Linked DNA regions of Yarrowia lipolytica. The protein of the gene in region 1 purifies or fractionates together with the protein of each later gene. This does not show direct contact. Links are inferred from orthologs where the notes say so. Each region holds a gene or a part of one and is shown in the gene's direction. Other genes may lie near its edges. The genes, in order: YALI1_B28292g and YALI1_A00746g.

Region 1 (9,101 bases):
CGCTTGCCCCGCTTGCCCTGCATCTCCAATTTCATGTTTTCGAGCTCTTGCGCCATAAAGTCGAGTCCGTCATCATCGTCGTCCAGATCGACTTCCAGAGAGCCGATTTCCGGTGAAGCTGGTTTTGATGATTCCAATTTCGTGGTGGCCTTCTTAGCCTTAGCCTTGGCCTTCTTCTTCTTGTTCTTGGTGGACTTGGAGGAAGACGAGGTTGCTGAGGTGACGGAAAGGGAGTCAGGAACTGTGTCTAGGCTTGTTTTAGTATCCTGGGAGTCGACAGTCTTGGTGTCGATTGAGTCGACCGTCTTGGTGTCTGTGTCGTCGGCGCCCATGTCTAAGTTCAAATGCAAATAGTCAAGAGCAGGAGCGAGATCAGGACTGGTGTGGTCTGGGGGGTTCGTGTGGTCGGATCCAAACAGGGGAATGTGGGTAGGGGTTCTGCTTGAATCATGCACGCTAGGTGCTCCTGAATTTGAACCTAATCCGACTGTGGTGTTGCTGTGTTGTGAAAGTTTGGAATTGAGATTGGGACTCGTCGCTGGATCCAAATCAAACGACAGATCAAGTGTACCCAGCTTAGAGTCAAATAGCTGCGACGCGCGGCTAGCGTCAAACAGCTGGGAAGATGGTCTGTCTGTGCTGTCGAACAGCAGTGACGATTTGGCCGTGACAGTCTTGCTCGACGGCTTGGAGTCGTAGACGTCCAGGTCCAGAAGCAGCTCCTTCTTGAGACTCTCTCTGAACTTGCGGGTGTCCACTGCAGGTGAAACAAGCGACTCCTCCTCCTCAATGGTTTGGAAGGTGCGGTCGAACGAGTAGTCGAGACTCGGAACACTGTCGTTTCCGGCTGCTGGAGACTTGACAGGCGAGGGAGAGGTTGTAGGTCGAGCGGGATCGATGCTGGAGGAAGACGTAGTGGGCGGAGACGGACCAGAAACACTGCGTCTAAAAGAGAAACGTTTAGATCCGGTCTTGGACTTGGGAACGGACTCAGATTGAACTCGGTGAACAGCCGGGCGGGTCTTGGACACTCCTAGCTCTGAAACCCCTGCGGTGGTGGATTGGAGACGTGCGGAGGACGATTTGGCACGCTCGGGGGCTCTGGGCCGTTGACGGTCGTCTCGTCTAAAGAGGGCAAAGAGGTTTCGGAAGGCGCCCATGTTGTGGATGGCCGAGAAGAGTGAATGGCTATTGATTCGGCTTGTATATGGTCTGGGAAAACACTCTCCTTTCGGCTAGATAGAGTACTCCTCATGCACGAAATAGGGGTTTGACGCACAAGGAACATGTTGGTTGGAATCTAAAGCGAAGCTGGAAGGGTCACAAATGAATCGTCTGCCGGCGGGCTTTGTTGGTCTACGTCTTCTCCTTTGAGCATGTTTTGTTGTCGATTGTTACCTCCGATCCCATTTCGGTATACCAAAATGACGGCTTCATGATCTGCATGTCCATTAATTACGTTAGCTAAGACTTCCTGTGATAATTGCCATTTAACGGGCTGAACCTGCAACTGTCTCGAAAGGCTTGCAATATCCGCCAGCTAATCTCCAGAAAAAGCACTAAATGTCACCCTGCCCGGATCTGCTGGGGCTCCAACTGTTTAGCTCCACCGTTACCCCTGGTTTTATTTGGTCTCTGAAACTTTAGGCAGCCTTCATCCTGCACCCCGAGACATAATCTTGCTTGTAAGCCCATCCAGTCAATGCCGGAAACAGCACTCTCATGCCATCTGAGCCCGTGTAGCTCGTAGGACAGTAGACGACAGCTCTGTGGGGACCCACGTGTCCGTTGGTTCGATATAGCTGGAAATTGGGCACTTTGACACTTTTGACCACACTCTGGGTCTCACTTACAAAGCAGCCACACCAGTGCACCCAGGTGCCCAGGTACATTCTCGAGGATTGGAATGTACAACTTTGACTCAATCTTAAGGTGAATAATACGATGTGAAAAAATATATCCATGTCCAATCCCACACCACTCCAGATAAGTTCTTGTCCACGTTTCAGGATTTATTATCAGCAGACTATTACGTCACTTTTCGGATTCCCACACTCTCACTACTTGTACAAGTAGCAGCACAAATAAAGAGGTCCTATACGGTCCTGACCTGAATCTGACTCTACTTTCATCCTTTGAGCTAATCTCATGATGATCGATCTGAGCAGAAAAGGAAGAAATATGCCGTGCGCTGAGCGATGATCCGTTTCTAAAAACACGACCGAAGGTGTTTCATGTTTCACAGCGTGCAAATCAAAATAGTAGCCAAAAAAAACTGAGGTTTGCGGGCTCAACAGAAGGTGAGACGAGGTTCTGATACGTAAGTAAATATAATTGGAGTAAGTTGAGACAAATGATTATCATGAAGAGTTTGCTGAAATGATCATACCACGATGAATTTTAAGATGTATTAGCGTCATTTTCTCATCTCACGTTACATAACCATGTCCACTTTTTTGTGACAAACAACGGGTTTCGCTTATATAATCACGGAGATCTGAAAATACATAATCTAACATAACGAGATAAACAAAAACGTTTATCGCATATATTATTACTTTAGGTAAAATTTCGAGTCAAGTTTTTCCCCCTTAGAAAAACTCCGACACATATCGAAGCATTATCCACTCTGAAAAACTCGTCCAAAAATCTGGTCACGTGATTTCGGTGATATTTCAGATCCTATTGATTCAACGCAAAAATTTTATAACCGGCCGTGTGGTCTAGTAGCTATGATTCTCGCTTTGGGTGTGAGAGGTCCAGGGTTCAAATCCCTGCTCGGCCCTTTTTTGGAAAATGACATTACAAAGCTTTTTGCTTCTGCAGATGACGATGTTAGTGCGTTACAGTCATCTTTGCGACGCCAAATTTTTGCCGCGCCAAATCGGACTCATTCCTTCTCAACCATGATTATCACCATCATCGTCGTGAAATGTTGAAATATATATAAGCTCAGAGTTTCTCGGGCATCATGCAACACGAGGGAACAGAAAGTATCGTCAGAATATCGTCGTATATAGTTGTTGCAACTACAATGGAAGTTCTGCTCTGTCATTCACCACTGTTTCTTCTGGTCCGTATGTCGTTGCTCTACTTCTGAGCAACATTCAAGCACTTTTGACAGGTGTTTGGGGCTCTGTGCATTGCATCATGCTGTATTAGGGTAGCCCCCAACCAGTCGTGTCGCTATGCACAACGTGTCACCTCCACAAGACAAGGTTGGCGTCTATTTTTCATCCCCATCAAAAACTCTCTCTACCCCCAAAACCCCGTTTGGAATACAGAACTTGAAGAGTTTTGTTTGTCTGGTCCCCTCCCTGTTTGTTTGTTTGTTTTTGTTGAAGTGAGTATGAATTGAGACCGAGGATCCGAGTGTTGATGCCGCAGAGGTTGCGTTATGGCTAAACAGTGTCTCATTTGATCTGTTTCCATGGAGACCAAAAAGGAGATGCACAAGTGGACACAGTCCTTGTACACTGGAGCATGCCCTGGATAATTCATTGAATCAACTGACATCTGCCGGATCTCATTTATACATGTTACACCAACAGTTATCTGATGTGTGTGCTTGTGCCACACAAGATGCTGTCAAGACATGACGACCCCCACCACCACCCCACTAACACAGATGTCCGACCTGTCCCCCGCTGAGCTTCTCCGGCAACGACATGCTGCCGTGAGCGCTGCCGCCGAGCCCACCCTCACCGTTTCTGAGGGCTCTCTGTCCAAGGAGTCTTCTCCCGTTCCCGAGATTGCCCCTGCCGCCCCCGTGAAGTCTGTCGCCGGTCCCTCCGCCGCCTCCAAGCGAAAGGGTCTCGATATCAACTCTCTCGAGGCTTTCCCCGCTCTTAATGGTGGTGCCGCTGCCCCCAAGGCTGTTTGGGGTAAGGGAGGCTCTGCTCCCGCTGCCCCCTCCCCTCAGTCCTTTGGTCGAGCCGCTTCCACCACTATCTCCGATGTCTTCACTCTCAAGCGAGAGGAGCAGCAGGTTGGTGTGCGATCCGAGCTGCCCAAGATCATTGCTAAGGTCAAGGCCAACACCTCCACTACCATCGACTCGTCCACCTCCAAGATTACGGGCCACACCTCCTTTGTCATCAAGGGTACCCCCGAGAACGTGGCCAAGGCCCGACGTGAGCTGCACCGAGCCCTGTCCCAGAAGATTGTCGCCAAGTTTGAGATCCCCGCTAGCGTGCGAGCTGCTGTGATTGGCCCTCGAGGTTCCAACCTGAAGCCCATTCTTGAGAAGTCCGGTGCCCATATCCAGATTGAGAAGCTCGAGTCCAACGGCAACAACGCCGACGACGACGAGGAGACGGTCGAGGTCATCGTCGAGGGTGACTCTGAGGGTATTGCTATTGCCAAGCAAGAGATCTTTGCCATTGTGTCCGAGCGAGTCAAGAACATGACCATCCGAGTTCGAAACGTCAACTATGTGCTGTTCCCCTTCCTTGACAAGACCGCCGGAGACCTCACCAAGGGCGAGGACGACGTCAAGCTCAGCATCCCTGATATCTTTGCTCCCAACTTCACCACGGCCGCCACCATCACTCTGTCTGGCGACCGAGAGGCCACCGCTACCGTCAAGGAACGACTTGAGCGTCTTGCAGAGTCTCTGTCCACCGACCTTATCACCTCCACCGAGTCCTTCCCTGCTTCCAAGCACAAGTACATTTCTGCCAAGGATGTCTTTGCCGCCACCTCCGTGTTTATCACTGTGCCCCAGGCCCCCAACACCTCCGATGACACCGTCAAGTTCCTGGGTCTGCCCAAGGACATCAAGCCCGCCATGAACAAGGTGTCTGAGCAGGTTAACTCCGTCAAGATTGATCTTTTGGACATTTCTCGAGCACATGGCAAGAGCGTGCCCCATGCCCAGGCTTTGGCTTCTTACTTCAAGGCCTCTGGTATGCTCCAGAAGATTGCTGACGAGTACAAGGTCGAAATCTACATCCAGCAGCCCGATCAGCTCTACGCTCCTGGCGCCCAGGCCGTCACTATCGAGACCTCTGGTCCCAACGAGGAGGCTGTCAAGGCTGCCCGAAAGGCCATTGTGGCTCTGGTAAACAAGTACGAGCCCTCCAAGGTCTCTCGAGTGTCTGACATTGATCCTTTTTTCCTGCGAAACCTCGCTGGCCCCAAGGACCGAAACCTGGCCAAGTACAAGAAGGACCACGGAGTCACTGTCCTGGTGCCCGAGAACCCCAAGGTTAACGGTGACGTGATTCTCATCTACGAGGGCACCTCTGAGGAGGATGATTTCGGCCCCTCCGCCGACGAGATCAAGGCCACCTTTGCTGCTGTCGACTCTTCCTTTGCCGATATTCGAGAGAAGCAGGCCAAGATCATTGGCAAGCTAATTTCCGTCCCCGTTGGCGAACACAAGTTTGTCCGAGGTCCCGATAACACTACCCTTCGAGCCATTGTTGGCGGAACCGAGGGCCACGAGCCCTTTGTCCGAGTCACCTTTGGTGACGAGATCAAGGACGCTGAGGAGCCCGTTTCTGCGGACTCCATCTACGTGCGGGGTCTCAAGGATGAGGTCACCCGAGTGCTCAAGGAGATCGAGGAGGCAGTGGAGGACGGCAAGAACTATGCTGTTCTGTCCCAGTACACCACCGAATTCCAGATCCCTCCCGAGCATGTCAAGCATGTTGTTGGCAAGGGCGGCTCCCAGCTCGCCAAGTTCCGTGAGTACGGCGTCAACATCGATCTCGACGAGTCCGGTCAGGGTGTTGTCAAGGGTATCAAGAAGAACGCCGACGAGGCCAAGGTTCAGATTCTGGCTTTCGCCAAGAAGATTGCCGACGAGGTCAACGTCAAGCTTCCTGTGCCTGCTGACCACCACGCCTCTCTGATTGGAACTGGTGGCAAGTTTGTCAAGCGACTGGAGGAGAAGTATGACGTTCGAATTCGGTTCCCCAAGACCGGTGAGGAGAACGCCAACGAGATCGTCCTTCGAGGTCCCTCCAAGGGTGTGGCGAAGGCCAAGGAGGAGATTTTGGATCTCGTAAACTACGAGATTGAGAACTCGCACTCGCAGACCATTTCCGTCCCCGTCAAGTCTCTGCCCCGAATCATTGGTCGAGGCGGAGAGTTCATCAACGACATCAAGGACTCCACCAACACTCGAATCGACGTCAAGCAGGAGAAGTCGGATAACACCGACGAGACCGGCAACGTTGACATTGAAATTGTTGGTACAAAGGCCGGCGTCAAGGAGGCTGCTGCCAAGATCCAGGCTATCGTTTCTGAGTTCCAGGACACTGTCATTGAGCACATTGAGGTGAACCCCAAGTTCCACGGTGCTCTGATCGGTCCCGGCGGTCAGACTCTCAAAGACATCCTCACCAAGGCCGGTATGACCGACGTGACCCCCTCCGTTGCTGCTCGAACCGTTGCTGTTCCTGCTGCCGGCACCAAGGATAACAAGGTGCGAGTCCAGGGCTCCAAGAAGATTGTGGCCAAGATTGTCAAAATCATCCAGGACATGGTTGCCGAGCGGGAGTCCCAGATCTCTGAGGTTGTTGATGTGCCCGTTTCCAAGCACCGAGATCTCATTGGAGCTGGAGGTGCTGCCAAGCGATCCCTCGAGGAGAAGTTCAAGGTTACTCTGCAGATCCCCAAGCAGGGCGCCAAGAACAAGGATGGAGAGCTCGACACCGGCGTCTCCATCACCGGTAAGGCTGAGGATGTCGCTACCGCCAAGGCCAAGATCCAGGAGCTGTCCCAGGACAAGTGGAAGGAGGAAATTCTGGTCCCCCGAACCTTGCACACCACTGTGTCCGACAACGGAAACCTGCCCCGAAAGCTCAAGTACGAACTCAAGGTTAACGTTGACCACGGCTCTGTCCGAACTCCTCGAGACGGCAACCCCGTTGTCCCCGCTGGTGCCATTGGCTCCGATTCTGAGGACAAGGACTCGTTCCGATGGTCTGTTGTCGAGGACGCTGTCGACCACGCTGCCAACGGCACCATCCCCTGGAGGCTTGAGGGCTCTGACGAGAACGTTGCCAAGGCTAAGGCCATCATTGAGGCTGCTCTGGATGTTGCTCTCAAGCACACTCAGACCGGATACCTGTGGCTCCCTGACACCTCTCGATACCGATTCCTGGTGGGTCCTCATGGAGCCACCGTGTCTCACATCCGAGAGAAGTCTGGCTGCAAGATCTACATCCCCAAGGCTGGTGTTGCTGACTCTGCCGTGACCGTGCGGGGCTCCCCCGAGGGTCTGGAGAAGGCCAAGGAGATGATGCTTGCTGCTCTCAAGAAGTAAGCTTGTGTTTGTTTCAGGGATGCAAAAAATGTACTGCGGGTACGATTCGGTAGTATTTAGTATTTAGTATTTATATCATTTGAGATTGTATGTTGTGGTGCGCACACAGGTCGTCTGTTGTGCGTATCGTAGTGTGTGTTGGGATATTTGAAGTGTTCTCCAGGCCCACAGTGGTTCGACTATGGCCGCCGGAGCCCTTATAATACTCAATTCTGTAACCCTTCTGATATAGGAGCTCCATCTTTAGTGCGCCTTTCAAGTGAAACATTTGGGTAGATAGAACCATTCATACAAGCATCATCGAATTCAGTAAATGTAAGCTTTGTCGCCAGTAACTTGTTGGTCATCCATCAGCAAACCAGCTGTCGCCGCTGTGCCGGGTCACCTGAGTTTGATTATGATGTTCGCTTGTCTGAGAGAGCCCCATGTTCCAAATATGCTGGTCGTGTATACATAAAACTATTTTTTTACAGCACAAGTACCGGTCCGGTACTTGTAGTCAGTTACTCAAGAAAAAATCATCTCATCTCGTATATGCTCGTATTTAATTTAGCTTCCGGGTTGTCGTAATATGTAATCCTATTTTTAAATTACGTCAGCAATGTTAATCTGGAGAAGCCATGTTATTAACAATGTTTAGAGATAAATTTAGGTCTATATTCTCATATAGTTTTACCTAACTAACTGTTTATCATGCTTGTGAGCCACAATCCGCATTCAAAACCTCATCTCACGTGACCTGTTTTCCCCGCGCATTATCGTCTCGTGCAGGTGCATATGGGTAAACTACTGTGTCTTACAATTGTACTTTCTACACAATGCATGTTTATGCGTTTAGCTCTACTTGTACTTACTTAGCTACTGGAAACTGTAGCTCCCCCTCCCCCTATCTATGTTAGTTGTTACCATTTTAAAACTTGCCCTTCTGCTCAGGAACAATGGAGATAACCTTTCCAGTATCAACAAAGCTCTCGAGGTTGTCCAGAACCGCCTTCTCCATCTTGAAATGGGTCTCGTGGGACCAGGTTCCCATATGAGGCAGAAGCAGGGTTCTAGGGTGTTTCAAAAGACCTTCTTCAATGGCAGGCTCTCGCTCGAATACATCGAGACCGACTCCTCCAATCTTTCCAGAGTTTAGACCGTCCACTAGGGCCTTCTCGTCGCAAACAGGGCCTCGAGCGGTGTTGACAATGATGACTCCGTCCTTCATTTTGGAGATGGACTCTGCGTTGACGAGGTGCTTGGTAGCAGCATTAAGAGGCACGTTGATGGAAATGACATCGGCCTTGGAAAATAGATCTTCAGGCGACTGGCAGTAGACAGAGTCCTTTTCCAGCTCGGGGGCCAGGCGATTTCGGTTGTAGTACAGCACCTTGCTGAAACCCAGAGGAGCCACGTAGTCTCTGATTTCTCGGCCGATTCCGCCCATACCGAGAATTCCGAGAGTCTTGCCGGAGATGTCGTTGCCCAGGGCCACTCCCTTGAGCCATTGGCCCTTTTGCAAGTTGAGAGCTCCGTCTCCGAAGTTTCGCAGGGTGCCGATCATTAGATACAGGTTCGTGAGAGCAGTCGACTCGTCGGCCATGGACTGCACGTTGCTGACCTGAATGCCTCTTTCGGAGAAGAAGGGCACATCGATCTGGTCATAGCCTGCTCCGTAATGGCAGACAGCTTTGCAGGACTCAGGAAGAGCCTTGGCCAGCTCCTCGTCGAACCGGCCGGTCTTTTTGACACTGATGAAGGTTCGGAAGATGGCATTGATGTCCTTGTAGGTGTTTTTGAGGTCCTTGAGAAACGATTCTCGGTCAGTTCCATCCTTGAGAGT
Region 2 (8,450 bases), on another chromosome or scaffold:
ACCGCTGTCTTTCTGCTCAAATTTCGCGCTCGCCACTTGGTGCCGATACTAACCTAGATTCGAATCCAAGGATTCAAGTCGTACAAAAACCTGGTCGAGATCGACCCGTTCTCGCCACGGTTCAACGTGGTGGTTGGCCGAAACGGTTCCGGTAAGTCCAACTTCTTTGCCGCGGTCCGGTTCGTTCTCTCCGACGCCTACAACCACCTCAACAAGGAGGAGCGGGCTGCTCTCATTCACGAGGGCTCCGGCATGTCTGGCACGACAATGAGTGCGTTCGTGGAGATCATCTTCGATAACAGTGATCGTCGACTGCCCACCGGAGGAGAAACCGTCACCATTCGACGGACAATTGGCTCCAAGAAGGACGAGTACTCGCTCGACAAGAAGTCCAGCACACGGTCTGAGATTATGAACCTGCTGGAGTCTGCGGGCTTCTCGCGGGCCAATCCCTACTACATTGTGCCTCAGGGACGAATCACAGCGCTCACCAACGCGAAAAACGAGACGCGATTGGCGCTGCTCAAGGAGGTGGCTGGTACTAAGGTCTACGAGCAGCGGCGATCCGAGTCGGAGAAGCTCATGATTGAGAACGAAAACAAGATTCTCAAGATCAACAGCGCACTGGACGACATCAACACGCGGCTGTCCGACCTGGAGGAGGAGAAGCAGGAGCTAAACGAATTTCTGCAGCTGGACAAGCGGCGGAAGTGCCTGGACTTTGCGCTGCAGGACCGCGAGCTCAAGGCAGTGGAGACTGCGCTGGTGGAGCTGCAGGACATGGACGACGGCGGCGCTTCCGACCGAGCTGCTCGACTTGCTAAGATCGAGGAGCAGGACTTGGTCATTTCCGAAGTAGAGGCTGAGATTGAGACTTCCAGCCGGGCACGTGAGCACGCAGATCTGGCTGCATCCCATGCACGTGACGACGTTGCTCAGCTCCGTCGACTCAAGGCGTCCCTCGAGGTGGAGCTCGCTGAAACCAACCGAATCCATGGTACGCTACAGCACGAGGAGCTGTCACGTGAGCAGCAGTTGCAGCGGGTGCAAGGCGAGATTGAATCCAAGGAGAGCTCGCTGAGGGCGACCGTGAGCGAGCGGGATGCTCTCAAAAGTCAGCTTGAGGCTGCCAATCGAGCTCTGCGAGAAGCCTCGGCAACCAAGGACTCACTGCTCTCCCGAGAAGGCCGATCTGCACAGTTCACATCCAAGGCTGCTCGGGACAAGTGGCTGCAACGACAGATTGCAGAGATCTCCGAGTTTTTGGAGAGTCGAAAGCAGGCCCTGGCAAAGGGCAAGCGAAGTGTGGAAGAGTGCGAGCGTGAAATCACTGCCAAGGATGCTGCGATTGTGGAGCAGCGACAAGCGTTTGCTGACTGCGAATCGCGGTACTCTGAGCTCAAGCGAAGCCACGCGGCCTCCCAACAGGCCCGAGAGGGCATTGCTGATGAGAAGAAGGCTTTGTGGCGCCAGGAGTCGTATCTTCTCAAGGATAGCGACCAGCTGGAGCAGCAGGTCGAGAAGGCGCAGCGAGCATTTGCTTCTACCATGGACAGAAACACCTCCCTTGGTTTGGCTAACCTGAAACGAGTGGCCCAGAAGCTGGGACTGGAGGACCAGGTCTATGGTCCCTTGTGCGAGTTGATCAAGCTGGATGACAAGTACAAGCGAGCTGTTGAGGTGACTGCTGGCAATTCGCTTTTCCATGTGGTTGTCGAGGATGACGATGTTGCTTCCAAGGTGATTGAGCAGCTTTTGCGTGAAAAGTGCGGTCGTCTGACGTTCATGCCTCTCAACCGGCTCAACCCCGAGCGAAGAAAGTACCCCGAGGCCGAAAACGTATTCCCACTGGTCGACAAGATTTCTTGTAACCCAGAGTACGAGCCTGCGGTGCAGCAAGTTTTTGGCAAGACCATTGTGTGCATCAATCTGCAGGTGGGTGCTGCTGTTCAGCGAAACCACAACCTCAACGCCATCACTTTGGGTGGAGATCGAGTGGATGCCAAGGGTGTGCTTACTGGTGGTTTCCACGACCCCAAGAAAAGCCGATTGGACGCTGCTCGAGACGTGCAGGAGGCCCAGGAGGAGCTGAGTCAGATCCGTGTGCAGATCAACGCCATCAAGAACAGCGTTGATGAGGTGGAGCACCGGCTGTCTGAATGCCACACGGAGCAGAACAAACTGCTGATGGAAATGCAGCAGATTGAAGAGACCCGGCAGCGGGCCTCTGAGTCCATCAAGGCCGAGACCGCGGCCATCACAACCCTCAAGGGTCTTATTGAGAAGAAGCGGGACAACTCCGAGACGCTGCTTCGAGACATCTCGTCGATGGAGTCGCAGCTGGAGTCGTATAACTCGGAGTTGGTGTCCGAGTTCAGCTCGCAGTTGTCTTCTGCTCAGCAGCAAGAGCTCGAGCGGGTCTGCGAGACTCTTCCTGGCCTGTCTGCCTCGGTCGCCGAGCTTCAACAGAAGGTGTCTGCTCTGGAAATGACCCGTCTGAGTCTCGAGAACGAGCTACAGCAGAACTTGTACCTGTCTCGAGACGACATGGAGCTGCAACACAACGGCGACTTTGATGCTGCCGAGCTGGCCGAGAAGGCTGCCACGCTTACCCGCAAGCTTGCTCAGATGGAGGAGCAGTTGTCGGAGGCTGCCAGCAAGCAATTGTCGACTGAGAAAGCACTGGAGACCGCGGAGCAGCAGGTGGCAAACGACGAGGCTCACCTCGCCGAGCTCAAGGATGAGCAGGCCCAGAGTCTGCGAAAGCTGTCCAAGTTTGCAAAGGCTGCCGAGCGAGTTGCAGCCAAGCGACAGGCCCTTGAACAGCGACGAGAGCATGTGCAGGCCAAGATTCGAGAGATTGGTATTCTGCCCGACGATGCTTTCCTCGATGTGTCTGCCCAGAGCGACGGCGACATGATGCAGGAGTTCAGAGAGGTGTCTGACGAGCTCAAGAAGTTTGGCCACGTCAATCGGAAAGCTCTGGAGCAATTTGCGACGTTTAGCAAGGACCGAGATCGACTTCTTTCACGTCGACAGAACCTCATGGAGTCTGCAGAGTCCATTGAGGAGCTAATTTCCACTCTTAACGACCAGAAGGACCGAGCAATCAAGCGAACGTTCCAGCAAGTGTCCAAGGAATTCTCCGAGGTGTTCCAACAGCTTGTGCCTCGAGGAAAGGGTCAGCTGGTGATCGAGCGACGGGCTCTGGACGACCAGAACCCTGACTCGTACACTGGAGTGGCGATCAACGTGTCGTTCAACTCGACGGAGAACGAGCAGCAGCGAGTGGAGCAGCTGTCGGGAGGTCAAAAGTCGCTGTGTGCGTTGGCGCTCATTTTCGCCATCCAGCGGTCCGATCCTGCCCCCTTTTACCTGTTTGACGAGATTGACGCTAATCTTGACGATCAGTATCGAACTGCTGTGGCGCAGGTGATTTCCCAGATTGCCAACGCTCCTCAGCCTACACAGTTCATTTGCACCACGTTCCGAAATGAGATGATTCACGTGGCTGACAAGTTTTACGGAGTCTTATTCAACAACAAGATTTCTACGGTGAAGAGTATTACTCGGGAGGATGCGCTGACGTTTGTTGATGGACAGAAGGCCTAGATGACGAGTGCTAAGCGAGTAACGGGCGAAGCGAATGGCGCGCGCAGCTAGTGGTGAAGTCTGAACTCAGTGGTTTGGCCTGCACATTAAGCAGGACTGGTCCAAGGGGACCTACTTATGAAAAGAATGGGTTTTGTATATGTTTATGGTAATTATTATTTAAGTGATAAGAGAGTGCGTATAGGAGAGAACAAGTATCAAGATCACCAAACGGCCCAGGGGCTCACTCTGATTCGAATCATATCAGTAAATATCCGTTCTACTTATAGAGGTATTGTTTCTACTGTATTGTACCTTGGATTGAAAGTGAAACGCCCCCTAGCGTATCTCTCAACTGGACTGTAGGATGTCTCCAATGTGAAGTTTGTGAGAAGTAGCATGACATATTCAAGTCTGTCGGATATTTTTTTCAGGACTGTATTGGTAGTGTGAGTTAGGGTGCAGTCTGGGAGTGTGGGGGAAGGCATTCAAAGTAGCCAGAAACGATCATGTGACGTGAAATGGCACGTAGAACGGCAAAAAATGAATGAGTAAGTCACAATAGCCCAAAAAGAGCTCCTAATCTGACTACACAACGACATACTAGTCTCACTTCTCTACAGCAGCAGTTTTCAGGCCCCGTTGCTTAATAAGATTGAAAAAACCTTAATCTGACATTTTGGTAAAACTTTTACCCTTACCAACTCTCTCCTTCACACCAGCACAACAACACCATGTCTCTGCCTACTCTTCCTTCCGGATGGGCTTCTGCCAACTCCGAGGGCTTTGTTGCCCACTCCGCCTTCACCTCTCCTGTCAAGCGACAGATTGAGCCCGTTGGACCCGGGTTCCTGGCCCATGCGCGACGAACTCTGCGAGGCCGAACTTGGTCTGAGGACGAGAAGGAGGAGGCCGCCAAGAACGTCAAGCAGGTCGAGGGCGAGGATGAGGACGCCGATCTCGGCGACGAGCCTGAAGACATTGAGGATCTCGAGCGAGAGGCCAAGGACTGGAAGTCTCAGGACCATTACAGAGTTCTGGGTATCTCTCACCTTCGACACCGAGCTACTGAGGACCAGATCCGACGGGCCCACCGAAAGCGAGTGCTCAAGCATCACCCCGATAAGAAGGCCGCCTCCGGCTCCAAGCTCGACGAGGACGACTTCTTCAAGTGTATCCAGAAGGCGTTTGAGGTTCTGATGGACTCCAACCGACGACGACAGTACGACTCCGTCGACGAGGCTGCCAATGTGGAGCAGCCCACCAAGAAGGAGACCACCGCCGAGAACTTCATCGAGCTGTGGGGTCCCTTCTTCGACTCCGAGATCCGATTCTCCAAGACCCAGCCCTGTCCTTCTCTTGGTACCATGGAGTCTTCCAAGGCCGAGGTGGAGGGCTTCTACGCCGCCATGTACTCCTTCGACTCGTGGAGAACCTTTGAGTACCTCGACGAGGATGTTCCCGATGACTCTTCCAACCGAGACCACAAGCGATACATTGAGAAGAAGAACAAGGCCCAGCGACAGAAGCACAAGACCGAGGACACTGCCCGATTCCGAGAGGCCGTTGACCTTGCTCTGTCCCTCGATCCCCGAATCAAGATGTTCAAGGAGGCCGACAAGAAGGCCAAGGAGGCCAAGAAGTGGGAGAAGGAGGCCGGTGCCCGAGAGGCCGCTGCTAAGGCCGCAAAGGAGGCCGAGGAGGCTGCTGCCAAGGCCAAGAAGGAGGCTGAGGAGGCTGCCGCCAACAAGGAGAACGCCAAGAAGTCCAAGGAGGCTGCCAAGTCCGCCAAGAAGAAGAACAAGCGAGCTGTGCGAAACGCCGCCAAGGACAACGGCTACTTCGGCGACGAGGCCAAGTCTGCCGATATTGACATCGATCTCGATGCTCTGCTCAACCGAATTGACGACCTTGCTCTCGGTGATCTTGCTGCTGCTCTTGACGGTGCTGATGCCGCCAAGGCCAAGGCTACCATCACTGAGGCCGCCGCTAAGGCCGGAGGTGACTATGCCTACTTCTCTTAGGTAGTTCTGACCTAGGGCAGGATCCACCCCGCCTAATCTATAGTTCATACAAGTAGAATAGATCTAGAGTACTGTCACTGACTTGGATACATGTGTAAAGCACAAACAGATGTAGATGATCGACCAAAGGGACTTTATGGGAGGATCTCAGACTGGTCAAGTGCTGTTGTGTCAAACCAGGGGTGTAGGTGTTGAGTATCAGTACAAGAAATGTGGATGCACGTGTGATGCTTATACTGGATACTCAGGACGGACCAATTGAGATCTTTACGGGCTTGTTTGAGTCTTTGTGACCACCTACCGGTCCTACTTCTTGGATGTGACTGCGGTTTAGCAGGTCCATCATTCTATTGGTCTCCACTCTGACATGCAACCGCTGCTGGAAGATCTACAAGAAGGGCACTTTAGATAGATACGTGGAGTTCAGATACGTGGAGTTCAGAGACGGGGAGTTCAGAGACGGGGAGTTGAGAACGTGGAGGATATTCAGAGACTGTTATGTTTCTACCCACTAATACGGCTATTCATGGCAAGCACCTGTGAGCGCTGGACTGATCTAAAGAATGTCAAGTACATCCGGTACATTAGCATAAGCATGTGTCAAAGGGGGTTCTTGATGACATTGGGTGTACAAAGTGGCAGTGTATCTTTTAGTTCAATCTCTGCGTGGCGTGACAGCGTATCCTTTAGTGCCATCTCTGGATGGTGTGACTACATGTGTTGCAAGGACAGTACGTTGTTTGTTATCAGTACTTAGCTGGCTCAACTGTTTTAATGGGAGATCAGTTCACCCTTAACGCACAGTTCTAACTATAAGAAGAGTTCACAACTAATACCAAGTATTTAATCGTTTGAAGAAACTGTACCGTACGTTCCATCAGATCTTCCACAGGAAAATCGAGTTGCAAGACTGATAAGATGATCAGCTAGTACTTTTTATTGGCAATATGTCATCTATCGATTTATTCTATCATATAGTTGTACAAGTACAGGTTTCGATCCATCGACGATACAGTGGACATTCTTCTCCACTAACCGCACCCTACGACTCTCCAAAGCGGCTGAAAGAATGCAAAGAATGCCAGTCGACCTGAGAGATGACATCCAGGGGGGCACGGGAACCTCGGAATGCTGAGAAGCGGAACTTTTAGCGCCATAAAAAGGTTTACCGCCCAGTATTTCGGCCCAATGCGGTCTTCTGGAGTTTCGAGAAGACATTTCGTGACACCGAGCGTTGCAACACCCCCCTTTCCAGACACAGAGCACCAGCTTAGGTTACACAGCACCGCCTCTTCTTCTTTGTGGCCTTGTGTCTGCCTTTACCAAGCAGAAATCCCCACATCTCTCACCCCAACCCCACCGCCACATGGTTAGTCCGACGTCTATACCCATAATCAGATACCCGCATATCCGATACAGTAGGCGGAAAGCCTCTTGCCTTGTTTTGGAACCCCCCTGATGAATGTGGGCGAGCTGTCAGCACGTCGAAACATTGGTTGTGCGACGCGTCTTCATTACGGGAGATGTTGATCAGCGTGCTTTGTTCGAGATGATTTTGATAAATGAGATCTGGTCAATGTGATCTTGTCCGATATGATATCGATCATCTATAGATATATGCACGGCAAGACTGATGGCTCATCGCCATTGTGCAGCCGCCAAACAATAGCACACGGCGGAACACACAATAGACCCGTGCTAAAATCAACAAAACCCGACTCAACTAAATAGCACAATTCTGGGCTAGCTTGGAAGGAGAAACACGGACACAAACTCATCATGTTATACACAAACATGTTACATAAACCCCCAACTTGCCTGTCCTCAATCCCCAGTCACTCTTTCACTCGCTCTCCATTCACTCGCTCGCTAACATGAAGCTGTCTCTTATTCCCCTCACTCTCGTCTCAGCTGTCTTGGCTCAGAACACAACTGACATCATCTCCGACCCTCCTGGTGCCTCTACTACCATCGATAGCTCCACTGAGTCTCCTGGTGCCTCTACTCCTGTCGAACTCCTCGAGAGCTCCACCCTGCCTACCAGTTCCACCGTTGACTCCACCCCCGTTGCCTCTGTCGTGAGCTCCACCCAGTCTCCTAGTGCCACTGTCGACTCCACCCCCGTCGACGCTAGCACCCCTGCTCCTACTCCTACTTCTACCACCACTCCCTCTCCTCCTACAGCCGAGGAGCTCTCGCAGCTCGATGCCACCATTGCTGGTCTTCAGGACACTCTGGATACACTCCTTGCCGAAGTTTCCGACTCCCCTGAGCTTCAGCAGCTTGTGGCTGACGTCTCCGCTTCTCTTGACAGTGTCATGAGCCGTCTAGCTGAGCTGCAGGCCACAACTGCTGCCAAGAGACACATTATGATGTGGATTGCCAAGAGAGATACCGCCTCTGACCTCATCGACGATGTCGTGACTCTTCTGGACCAGCTGCGAGCTGTTGTTGCCATTATTGAGCCCATCGAGAACAAGTCTGATGCTCTTCAGGCCAACCTCGACAGTGTTTTGAACACCATTGCCGAGCTTGAGGCTTGGTTGGAAGCTGTGAACGCAGAGGATGAAGTTGCTTCCAGCTCTTCTGCTGGTGATATCCCTGCTACCTCTGGTAATGTCCCTGCTACCTCTGGTGATGCCTCTGCTTCTGCTACTGCCTCTGGCGACGCCCCTGCCTCCTCTGGTGCCGCTGTCTCCGGTGATGCTTCTGCTTCTGTCTCCCCCATCGCTGCAAACACTACTGCTGAGTCCACTACCCTCACCACCACCCAGACCGTCACCCACTGCGAGAACAGCGCTTGCAGCAACACTGTCGTCACTCTGACCACCTGTG

What was found.
Region 2: the proteins of YALI1_B28292g (region 1) and YALI1_A00746g purify together in Saccharomyces cerevisiae (affinity purification with mass spectrometry; 3 studies listed by BioGRID). This does not show direct contact. The link is inferred for Yarrowia lipolytica from reciprocal best matches to the Saccharomyces cerevisiae genes SCP160 and ZUO1.

What each region holds. Positions count from the first base shown.
Region 1 is NC_090771.1:2,825,632-2,834,732, forward strand, and holds YALI1_B28292g (uncharacterized protein), read left to right. Parts: upstream 1-3,595; coding exon 3,596-7,276; downstream 7,277-9,101. Other genes in the region: YALI1_B28268g (uncharacterized protein), read right to left, coding at 1-1,160; YALI1_B28349g (uncharacterized protein), read right to left, coding at 8,187-9,101. UniProt on the Saccharomyces cerevisiae protein: Involved in the control of mitotic chromosome transmission. Required during cell division for faithful partitioning of the ER-nuclear envelope membranes which, in S.cerevisiae, enclose the duplicated chromosomes.
Region 2 is NC_090770.1:70,549-78,998, reverse strand, and holds YALI1_A00746g (uncharacterized protein), read left to right. Parts: upstream 1-4,325; coding exon 4,326-5,615; downstream 5,616-8,450. Other genes in the region: YALI1_A00789g (uncharacterized protein), read left to right, coding at 58-3,612; YALI1_A00715g (uncharacterized protein), read left to right, coding at 7,490-8,450. UniProt on the Saccharomyces cerevisiae protein: Component of the ribosome-associated complex (RAC), a heterodimeric chaperone complex involved in regulation of accurate translation termination and in folding or maintaining nascent polypeptides in a folding-competent state.